Linked DNA regions of Tamandua tetradactyla. The protein of the gene in region 1 purifies or fractionates together with the protein of each later gene. This does not show direct contact. Links are inferred from orthologs where the notes say so. Each region holds a gene or a part of one and is shown on either strand. Other genes may lie near its edges. The genes, in order: WWP2, FAM168A and AMOTL1.

Evidence for each region.
Region 2: the proteins of WWP2 (region 1) and FAM168A purify together in Homo sapiens (affinity purification with mass spectrometry; 3 studies listed by BioGRID and IntAct, counting the BioPlex papers as one, with this or other methods). This does not show direct contact. The link is inferred for Tamandua tetradactyla from reciprocal best matches to the Homo sapiens genes WWP2 and FAM168A.
Region 3: the proteins of WWP2 (region 1) and AMOTL1 purify together in Homo sapiens (affinity purification with mass spectrometry; 3 studies listed by BioGRID and IntAct, counting the BioPlex papers as one, with this or other methods). This does not show direct contact. The link is inferred for Tamandua tetradactyla from reciprocal best matches to the Homo sapiens genes WWP2 and AMOTL1.

The regions. Positions count from the first base shown.
Region 1 is NC_135342.1:63,874,806-63,878,746, reverse strand, and holds the start of WWP2 (NEDD4-like E3 ubiquitin-protein ligase WWP2), read right to left. Parts: upstream 2,902-3,941; 5' UTR 2,791-2,901; intron 1-2,790. UniProt on the Homo sapiens protein: E3 ubiquitin-protein ligase which accepts ubiquitin from an E2 ubiquitin-conjugating enzyme in the form of a thioester and then directly transfers the ubiquitin to targeted substrates.
Region 2 is NC_135334.1:72,426,987-72,430,927, reverse strand, and holds the start of FAM168A (protein FAM168A), read right to left. Parts: upstream 2,738-3,941; 5' UTR 2,474-2,737; intron 599-2,473; exon of another isoform or gene 510-598; intron 1-509.
Region 3 is NC_135334.1:48,227,270-48,231,210, forward strand, and holds the start of AMOTL1 (angiomotin-like protein 1), read right to left. Parts: upstream 2,583-3,941; 5' UTR 2,438-2,582; intron 1-2,437. UniProt on the Homo sapiens protein: Inhibits the Wnt/beta-catenin signaling pathway, probably by recruiting CTNNB1 to recycling endosomes and hence preventing its translocation to the nucleus.

The DNA.
Region 1 (3,941 bases):
GATTGGTCATTCCACAGCTGAAAACCCTCCAACAACCCCAACTCACTCTGAGTGAAAAACATCCTTCTGATGGTCTACAAGACCCTACACCACCTGCCCATCTCTCCTCTTTCCCCCAACAGCAATCTGACCTCAGCTCCTACCACTCTACCCTTCGCACACTCCCTCTAGCCACACTGGTCTACAGGCATGCTAGGGGTGTTCCTTCTTTAGGGTTTTCCAACTTCCCACCTGGACCTCTCTCTGCCTGGACCATTATGCCCCCATTCAGCCATGTGGTTCCCTCTCTTACCTTTAGATCTTCTACTCAACTGTCACCTTCTCAGGCAGGCTTTTCTAAGCACCCTATTTAAAACTGCAACCCCACTGAACACTTCGCATCCCTCTTGTCTGCTTTATCACAATATAATATGCATCTTATCCATTTTCCTTTCCCCATTAACATTTCAGATCTGCAAGGGCAGGGATGGTTGCCTTTCTTATGTACCACTGTATTTCCCCGCAACTTAGAACAGTGCTATCTGGGGGCCACATATGTTAACTTCTTATTTTCTAGGAGCAACATTTTTAAAAATAAACAGTTGAGTAATTTATTTTAAAAAATTATAATAAACAATTTTAATAAATTTATTTACCCAGTAGATTCAAAATATTACCATTAATAGTATATATTTGTATCATAAATATAAAATATTTTTATATAAATCATTTCCATAAATTTTATATAAATGATTTCCATAAATGATTAATGGTAATTAATAGTATATATTTGTATCACTAATATAAAAATATCAATGATATATTCTTGGTTTTTCATACTAAATCTTCGAAATAGAATGTGCATTTATCTCAAGGGTTCAATAGCTGGTGGCCACTGTACTAGACAGTGCAACTCTACAATAATGCAAGGACCTATATCCATTGAATAACAGAATGTTTTCCCAGGAAGAAGAGGTAGTTATGACAAAGGATTTTCTATATAGTCTACAGTACTGATTTTTACTGTGATTATACTATTAATATTTTTTCTTAGAATGCCATTTTTTTAATATTTAAAAATAAAACTTAAAATCATCTCCATAAATGAAAAAGAACAGGTCTAGGGATAAAAAGCCTGCACTTGCCTCCCTACTGTGTCATTTACTAGCTCAGCATCAAACTTCACAGGCTTATGGTAGAAATTAAATGGGATATTTGCACAAAGTTCTTTGTAGATAGGGAAGGAGTCATTAAGTGGAAGAGACTGAGAAGCCAACCCTAGCCTTTCACCCATGTTTAGGGTTTTATTTCCAAATGGACCAACAACACATAAAAAGACAAGCATGTCTCGCAAGAGCTAAGATAGAAGACTTAAGTTAAAATCCTCTGTCTGCCACTTTCAGCAAGGTGACCTTTAGAAACTCATTCATTCATCACCTATTTACCAAGTGCCCACAATGTGCCAGGCACTAGGCTGGAAGCCAAATATATAAACCCTGTCCTTGAGGGATTTGCAGTCTAGTGGGGGAAAAGGGACCAGTAACAAGAAAACAAAAATTGTTAAAAATCGATTTGTCCCTCTCAGATCTTGTGAAATGTGAAATGGGACTAATATCTTCCCAACCTAACTCACAAGGTGACTACGAAAATTAATTTTTCAATGTTTGTCAAATACTCTACAACCTGAACTCATAATACATTAGCAAAGTTACTTTTTTTGTCCTACTTGTAATCTACGACAACTCTGGGTCCTGTGAATGTCCAGTTTAAACATTTACTCCAGTTATGCTGTATTCTTGAAACTTATTTCACTTTTGCAAATTTTAGTAAACATGAATAGAAAGAGGAGCTCGAGAAGCTTTAATACAGGTATCTAATCTCAAAACCATGATTCATAGGTCACGGTTCTAAGGAACACAACACAGACCTCTCAGCCACCCCAACTAGTTACAGTTTGTCAAGAAAAGTAGTCACATGGTAAGGGAAGCTGAATAATTTAAACCAAAGAAAGAAGCAAAGTCACAAAATGTGTAGGTAGACACTGCTCTGTCCAAGATTTCAGCAGTTGCGGGGGTAAATGCTGGACTAAGTCGCGGTCAACAGTTTCGACTGTCATTTTACAACGAGAGATAAGTACCCACATTTTTTTTTAAGTCTTAAAGATGACCTGATCTGGGAAAATCTCAAAGAAAGGTGATCTGAAGGGCTAGGTTCCCGAGAAGAAGAAACCCGATCCAAGCAGGACTAAGGGGGTGTGACGAAAGCAAGATGATCAAGATTCCGTGATCCCTCCTGAAGTTTTAAAAACTTAAAGGGACAGAAATCAAAGTCTCTGGTGACAATCCTTGCAAAAGAGAACGGAAGGAAGAGACTCTCAGATGAGGTTCAGGCAGCATCTGCTTCCATCTCTCCCTCTTTCCCTCCAAGCCAAATGCCCATTCACAGGCACCTCCTTCCAGTTCAGTCCCAAGTCCCCCCTTCCTCCTCTCCCGATCCCTCCACAAATGTCACACCTCTCCAGCCCCTGGCATCCGGGAAGATTCACTGCCTGCCGAACCCCTGGCTGCCTTTAGAGACCACCCCCGTGCAGCCCCCGCACGCGGCCCCCGGCGCGCCCACCCCGCACCGGCGGGAGCCGGGACACCCCTCCTCGGAGGCCGGAACCGCCACGCCAGGCCCCTCCCACAGGAAGCCGCCGCCCCCCGGAGCCCGGGCCGCGCCGCCCCAGGCCCAGCACTTGCCGCCGCTGACCGGGGCCCGACCCGCCAAGCCCGGCCGCCTTCCGGGCAGCCCTGCGCCCGCGCTCGCTACCTGCAGCGGCCACAGAAGCGGCGCCCAACTCCTCTCCCACTTCCGCCTTCCACCGACCGCACTCGAGCCGGGTCACGTGACCACGGGCGGTCACCTGACCCGGAAGAGGCTGGCCGGGTTTGCAGGTGTGGGCAGCCGGGCCTGGCCAGGAGCCTTTGGCCTGGGTAGCGCATTTTATTTTTGTGTTTTTAAAGTGGAGGGATTTTTTTTCACCTCCAAGATGCTCCCTGAGCAATCATAAATTGAGGGTCACTGAGGGCCAGGCGCTTCATTTTCTCCTCCCATCAAATCTTTGGGGGCGGGTACTATCATTTAACCCCATTTTACAGGTGAGAGGAGTTAATTCAATAGATGAAGTCAACAAATATTTATTGACCTCCATAGTAAGGTTGCCGGATAAAATACTAAAAAAAAGAAAAGAAAAGTATTCATTGTTTATCTGAAATTGAAATTTAATTGTGCAACTTGTATTTTACTCAGTAAATCTGATGATCCTGCACCTATTGTGTGCTAGGCACTGTTCTAGGCTCTAGAAACAAAAATCCCTGCCTTTGTGGAACATATGTTCTTGTGATATTGAACTAAAATAGAAAAGCTTCTTAAAAAACCCTGCTTGGGGGGTGCAAGTCTTCCTCGCAGGGTGGGAGATGACTCCCAGAGATGAATCCAGCCCTGGCACAGTGACATCAACAATACCATCCTAAACAAAAGGGAGAAAAGAAGTGTAACAAATAAGGTACCAGTGGCTGGGAGAGCTCAAATAAACTGGGGAGGCTACTCTGGAGGACACTGTTACGCAAGCTTCGGTTAGATATTGCTACCTACTATAACTTGCCAAACCCCAACCAAAACCATTCCAGCCAATCCTGAAGAATGCCTAGGGCATTTTATAAGATTCTGCAAAGGTTCCATGCACTAGGGTAACTTTCTAGCATCATCTTATTGGTAGCCTTCCTTATTTTTGGGGTGGTATTTCTAATGCTAATCTAAATTTTTGTAGTTTTTGGTTCTACTTGCTGCAGCATAGTTTATATGGTTTATCGCCTTTATAACTATTGTGTTTGTTTTTCAGATATCTATTTCTTTTTTTTATGGTGGTATTGAATCATGGCTGCAATTTCTTGGACACCCCTCCCATCAACAGTTGGAAT
Region 2 (3,941 bases), on another chromosome or scaffold:
GTTTGCAAGCTGAATTTCGAAGTGTGAACAAAAATAAAAAAGATTTTAATCCAACTAGTGCCGATTTTATCCTTCCCCATTTTTTCTTAGTCTGAGCTCTAATCAATAGCCACTTCATGTTTTTAACATATCACAGTTAATATAATTACAGTCAGAAAACTATTTCTCTAAAGATGCTTCCTCCTTCAACCCCTCTCTATCTTCCATCATCACCATCCAGCATGGGAGTGAACATCACTAAGCTTTACATCAAATTTCTGATAAAGAAATGGAGATATTATTTCTGAGGTTAATGCAATGTGCCTACATCAACACCATCCCTTGAAATATAAAATAAAAATGACTCTATATGCTTATTTGGCTACATCTGACAAAATTCTGATCACCTGAATGTCCTGCAGGAGAAAAATCAAACTATAGAAATATAGTCCAATAATTTTAAATCTTATCAAGTAATGTCAAAAGAGAATCAAATGAAAAAAAAAACCATCACTACCAAACCGTCTTACCAATGAATATTTATGACATTTCCATATTTTCTGTCTTCTCTCTGTTTACATAAAGCAGTGGTGCCAAGGCTCATCTCAGGATTATTACCCTGCAATACAATGATGGGCCTAATTGCCTTGCAAACCAAGATACCAATAAATGGAGTCTTCAAGCAATCAATTTTAAAGGGGGGGGGGGTGGAGGCCCTAAGCGCTTTCTTTCCATATAAATGCACGCTGCTGATTAGAAAATAAATCCAGTCTCATATTTTTCAGTCCCATTCATCACTTCTCAAGCAAGGGACGCTCCCTTAACAACCTCAATCTCATCAAATCTATTTAAATTTAAAATTCCAGAACTAGTTCTTAAGAGCACCAGAGGAGGGGAAAAGAGAAAGCAGAGACATCATACAGAAAGATATTTATCACACTCCATTTCCATCTTCACCCACCTTTATTTGGGGGGTGGGTTTTTTTTCCTCCAACTTTCTTTTTGTGATATATGAACTAACAGAAAGAAAACACACACCCCCTTCCTTAATTCTACCCTAACAGAAACCCCTCTCAACTTCATCCTCTGGGTTGACTTCGCTTCCAAATATGATTCTAATAAAAATGAAACAAACAATAAGATCAAAGGCCTCTTAAGAGGTTCTCTAGGAATGTATCTTTAATGTACCACCTTCTCTGTTCCCTACAAAGCCTCCTATAAGAAACCTCTTAACCAACCACAGCCACCAAAGATGTCCATTTAAGTGTTCCAACCCCTAACCCTCTTGTGTCTCTTGGAGGCCCAACCCACCTCTTCCCAGCACTGCTCACTACCCCTTTCCATCTTCTGTGACCCATCTATTCCCACAACTCCAGGTCTTCCACTCTTTAAATTCCCCCTCTGCCGCCTCACCATCATCAACCACTGCTCTAGTCCAACCAGGTTATCTCAAACACTTCTCCAAAACTCCCTCTTCCACCTTGGCTAAAGGACATTTTCTTCAACATACCATTCCACAACCATGCTCACCACCTGCCACTATTCTTTCAGTGAGTCCAGCCCAGGCCCTTCTTCAGTGCCCTCTGCCTGGAACCTGCCCCCAGGGAGCCATCATGCCTCTTACAGTGGTTCAAAGATCACCCTAAATCCCAACCCACTATGCCTCCCTTCAATCTCAAAACCTGTCAGTCCATTTTGGACCTAACTTTCAATTTCCCTTCCTCCCGCCAGCTCACCATTACACTCCTCTTACTAAAAGCCTTACCCCTATCTGCAATTATTCCAACCTCCATCAGCCCACCCCAGGAAAAACTGAATTCCACCTCCTCTGCTCTATCCCAAGCCCTGCTATTCCATAAGTCACCACAAATTCCACCACCCCCAGGTGGCAAATGCCCACTCCGGTCTCAGATCTCAAACCTTGCCAGACCCTCAGCCCCAGCTCCTACCACCTCCATCAGCCTACCCCGGTCCACCCCACATTCCCTCCTCCTGAATTAACACGCTCCAGGGTCCAGTCCAAGCCCTGTACATCCCACAGTCTGTTGAATTCAAGTCCCTAACCCCCACCCAGCTAGGACCCCAAGCTGTCAACTGTTTCAGGCCAACCTCAAAACCACCACCTTCATTCAGCCCCCTCCCCCATTAAAGGCCACCCCACTTCAGTCTCATCTCCCACTTCTCCCCAAGGCCTTCCCAAATTCCAACCCCATGCGACTCCCACCTACGCTCCCGTCCCAACTAGGGTCATTCCCCATTAAAAGTCCCTTTCCCTCATCTTCCCCCACCGCACCCTGCTGGGTCCCACCCCCACCCCACCCCCAGTCCGCGCCTGGACAAATCTCCCTCGTCAGCCCGCCGTTCCAACGCGACCTCAGCCCCCTCCCCCCAACCCGCCCGGGGGCTCTGCAGCCCCCACCCTCATTTCCCCCAGTACCACCGGCCGGGGCTGAGGACGAGTGGACCCTGGAAGGGGGGAGGGGGGTTTCCTCACCAGCGAGAGGCTGCAGGCGAAAACGGGGGTGGCGGCGGCTGAGACGGCGATGTCCTTGTCTTTTCTGGCGGCTGTAGTGGCGACGCTCTCGCTTCCTCGCCCGTGTCCTGTAGGGTGGCGGATGGCGCGCAGGGTCCTGGAGCCTCCTCCTCAGCGACTCGGCTCTGAAACCTCTGCAGTAGCGGCCGAGGAGCCCGACGGGTGGGGGGAGGGGACGCTCGGCAGCGGGGCGAGGGAGGTGGAGGCGGAGGGAGGGGGCGGGAGACCGCTGAGATGGGCGGGGAAGGAGGAGCAAGCGCGGCGCCGCGACACGTCCCACGGTCTCAGCGCGCTAGGACCACAACTCCCAGCATTCCCCGCTCAACCTGCGAGCGGCCTACAGCCCTAGCGTCGCGCTCAGTGCAGAAGCACTGCGCCCTCCTTGGTCACGGACAATAGAATAACGTCAGCCATCCGCCGGCGGGTTTTGTAAACACAGTGACCATACGTCAGGGAAGTCAGGCTGTCCGGCAGCTTCATCTCCAAGTAAAGAATCTCGCGGTGTGTCCACGCGCCCCTCCCCCCGACACCCACTAGCGCACGCATATAGACGCGCACACCCACGCACAAACACACACGAATACAGCCACCCATGAACTACATTTCCCAGCATTCCACGCAGCCTCCGGCCCGCCTTCCGGATCTTTCTCAGACCCAATATTGCAGTTTGGAATAAGTGTGGCCCCTGCGAAATGCCGGGAGAGGCAGTTCTCATTTCTTCCCCCATGTTAAGAAAAAGAGGAAAACTGGAAGAAATATGCCAACCCAGCAAGGACAAGCCCAGATGGGCGAGATGACTTGTGAGTCTGTATTCTACTTGTCATTCCGGTTCACATGTCTAACACCAGGACTAATGCAGCAGCTTCGTCAGTGGTCTCCCAGCAAATCTTAGGACGATTTCGCAATTTGAATTTAAATGCAGAAAGGGTGTATTTCTTGACTCAGCTCCATTACTTTTAAAAACTTACCTTAGGGTGCACGGGTAGTTCGGTGATGAGAATTCCGGTCTTCCATGCTGGAGACCCGAGTTCGATTCCCGGACCGTGCACCGCCCCCCCCCCCCCAAAAAAAACTTAACCTTAAAAGGATGATCGAACATGAGGTTGTAGGGGTGTGGGGATAATGTATATGTCCATCAATAGAAGGTTGGTTAAATTATATATACATACAATAAAGTGCTAAGTCATTAAAAGTGATGGTATAGATCTATTTATTGACATGGAGAGCTTATTCACAATTCACTGTTGAGGAAACGTTGATTGCAAAATAGCATATTTAGAAGGGTCCGATTTATGCGAAGTTTGAAGTTGCTTCTTCTATAAGCATAGAGAGTTCAGGAAAGAGGTTCCCCTAAATATTATTGGTGATTGTCTTAGAGGGAAAGATGTCAGATTTCAAGTAATTTTTATTTTCATGTTGTCTGAATTTT
Region 3 (3,941 bases), on another chromosome or scaffold:
TAGAATAGGTGCTAGAATGACAAGCAGACATCCTGGTTCTAGTCTTGGCTTTATACTAGTTTTTTTATAAGACTCAAAACCTGCCTAGGTCGTGATTTCCTCTGTGAAAGGAAACAGCTGAAACAGATGATGTCCTTTGTGAAACTTAGTAAAACAAGTGTTAATGGGAGATTGTAGTATAGGTTCCAATATATTTAGTATTTTTCCATGCTGTATAAAAAAGTCAGGTAAAAAGGATCAAATTTCACAGAAGGTAGAGATACAGAATGTGGCCGTTTGAAGAAAAGCAGAAACTGAGAAGTAAAATGGAAAGGGCACAACTCTAGAGTTGGAAGATCTGAGTTTGAAGGTCAGCTCTGCTGCCATTAGCTGCACGAGCCTGTCTTAGTTAGCTTGCTTCTCAGATTCAGTTTCCTCATCTGTAAAATGGAGATAATAGCAACTATGTCACAGGATTTCAATGATGATTTTAAAAAAATGAAGTAACGTTCATGACAGTGCTTGGCACACATACCGCTCTCCGAAAATGTTAGCGTCCTTCCTTCTTGACTGATGTGAAAACTCTCCCTGACCTTGAGAGACACCAGAAGGGAAATCTGCTGCTTCCTGTTTTCATAACCATAATGGAAACAGTACCACTGGATTTCTACAATGCACCTGGCCCACCCTGCGAGGTTATGTTTCACAAACTTCCTGCCTCTCTCCTAATGAGGAATCTAAGCAGGTTGAGCCCCCTGGGAAGTGCAGATGACAGCAGGTTTCCGAGACAGCTGACTGAGCACATCTATTACAGGAAAAAGAAATGTTTTATGGACTCAGAGAGAAGAGTTGAGGACACCTCCCTGCCTGCACCAAATCCCCACACACATGATATGGCAGCTGGCAAATCAAAGGAGCAGCCAGATTGGCTTGTAATGCAACAGTCAGCAATGATCCTGGCCAAACAGTGTCCCTTCTGTTTCATGTGTTAGGGACTGCATATGACTCTGCATTTGGAAATGCATTTCAGACCTTTAAAACAAGTTTGAAAAACCATTGGCCCATGTCCTTGAGAGTAACTTGGTGTTTTGTATTTTTAGGAGTGTTGGAAGCAGGTGTGGCAGTGGGACTTTTCTTCAGAAATTCATTGTCACCTCCAGACATCCTGGGATCTCCCGAGCCAGCTTCCTGGAGGCTGTCCCACCCTAATGGCAGCCCAGAGATGCTCTGAAGATAACACAAAAGCAGATGCTGCGTGGACCTGCCTCAAGGCCTATGATTCACCAGGATGACTGAGTCTTTCTGGCAAATAATGCAACTCTCTGAAGACTGTATGAAGCCAAGAGCAAAAGCCCTGAGGCCTGGATGTTTCCAGGACTTTCCCTGGTACTCCACAGAAGTATAAACCTCGCTAGCCCACAGTAGGTCTCTGAGATCAGCAGCTGGTACTAGCCAGCAGTGGGGAGAGATGGGGCAGAGGCAAGGGTAGGTGGGGGGAAAGATGCTCAGAAGCAGGTGGGTCGAGGCTTTTGCAATGCCTGAGTTGGGATGGCTGTAGGAGGGACCTGTGGCTGGCTTGGATGAGAGTCCACTCATTGCAACATCACTGTTTGCTTCCTGGCCCTGCTCAAAGCCAAGTCTCTTCTATTGTGACAATGAAATAACCAGCAAAAATAGTTTGTAAGTAAAGCGCTGTAGTCTGAAACTGCAAAGGCAGAGTAAGGAATGTTAAGAAAGTAAATCGAGAGGCAATAGCCAAGGGTAGTTTGGGGTTAGACCTATCTAAAGTCAAATCCCAACTCTGCCACTTATCAGCTGAATGACCTTGTACTAGTTTCTCAGCCTCTTCAGGCTTATTCTCTTCATTCATTCATAAAATGAGAATAAAGTTGTTGTGAGACTTAACTGGGATTTAATACTGTTACATTAATAAGATAATAGACAAAGAAAAAGAAGAAAAGAATGGTAGGGGATCTGACCTACTTGGTATACACATACACATACATACATACAAATAAAAGGCTTAGCTTAATGTCAAGCAATAGTATACACCTAATAGATTATTTAATATATGTCTTTGTAATTCATCCAATTCTGACTTAGCTGTGACATATGGGCTTCCACTTGGTTTCTGAGCAGAAGTTTCCCCATCCCGCTTCAAGACTTCACCAGATTATCTGCTCTGATTTCTCATTTTGGTTACTTCATTTAGTTCTCTTAGAACCAAGAACTCTTTTGCCGAACTCTAGCCTAGGCTAGAATTCTGAAAATCCACCATAGTATCAACTGCTCAGAAGGATTTTCAAATTGATAAGAAATCACTGCACTCCCCCTACATATTACAAGATTGCCATGCTTTGCCATGGATACCTCCATCACTGCAGACCGATTGTCTGGAATGGTTTCCATTGCCTATCAGAACTAAGCTCCTCTGATAACTCCAGCACTTCATGATTACCTGAGAGCTGTGCCTCCCCGTCAGGCACATCAAGTCACAAGGCTGGTTCCCCTTCTGGCCAGCCATATCCCTAAAGATTGCAGTTCTGTGACATGGTAAACTCACAGAGGGATTGTGGTAATTCTGAGAGCTGGTCACAATTAGTAGTTTGTAGCCACTCTTGTTACATCATCCCTAAGGCTTCTTTCAGTTCTAAAATTCTATGACAGATGATTCTATTGCCTTGGTTACAAAAGTACCAGTGGAGAAACCACACCTACTTCCTTTCTCTCCTCTGCCTTCAAGCTTTGGCAAACAAGTCTGGAGTCACTAAGTGAAATGCTATAGGTGTGCTGAAAGTAAGCTGAAGAAATAAAGTGGTGCCAGAAATAGTTGTATAACCAGCTAGGCTGCCGCAGCCAATAAAAGTTCCCCAATGAAGGCATAGGTAAACAAAGGATGTGGTCCCACCATCCATCCATCCATCCATCCATCCATCAGCCTGCCAGCCATCAAGTACACACCAAGTATTTGCCAAGCTAAAGTCATAGGATGCAGAAATGAAAAACACCAGACCTCTGCCTCAAGATGTTCCCAGGCTGTTTAGGATGTAGACAGTCAAAGACAATGTTGTGAGTGCCATGGCAAAGGAATCTACACGACCTGTGGCAGGACTGAAGAGGACTCTTATTCAGACCAGGGTGGGGTGGGCAGGCAGCATGGACAGGAAAAGTCCCAGAACAGGTGAATTTAGCAGCAGCTTCAAGAAAAGTAAGAACAAATCAAGTAAAAAACATATAGCAGGAACAGCCTTTGCCAAGGGTGGGAATACCCAGTATGCCTGAGGATCCAGGGGCAGATCAGTATAGCAGGAGGGAAGAGGTTTGTCCCAGTGACGAGCAGGGAGATGAGTCTGGAGAGGGAAGCGGAGGTCAGATCAGGAAGTGTGTGTGTTAAGCAAAGGAGGTTCAATTTTATTCCATGGGCTGTGAAGTGGTACTGACCTAGCCTCTAAAATATGTGGAGATACTGTCTAGTCTGGCAGCATGACAGGGCAAGGAGTGAACTTTTGTTGGTTTTTGGCTGGATAGCAGCCACAGCCCCTCTTTCAGATTATTCATTCTTCCCTTTGGAGAAGTGCAGTAGCCTTGGTTGGAAGATAGACCCTGGAGAATTAAAGATGTTCTGTGTTAGTTGATGTATGTTACCCATTTAGAGATGGGGCACAGCAGATGGTATAGTCTGGTGACCTCCATGTTTTCTGGCTCACTCTTTTATTCCCAGAGTTTGGCATATAATAGATGCTCAGTAATGCTTGTTGAGTAGATGAATGAACAACAAGCAAATGGGAGGCATATCCTTACTAGAAACCTATGAGCACATTAACCTCAGGGGCTTTGATCTCCTCATCCATGAAACAACTTCTACCACCACAGTACATCTCTGTTAGAATTGGGGAATGGGGATGGAGCTGAACCCTCAGGCTTGACAGCAGACCACAGGGTCAAGGGTTGTGATTCTTCAT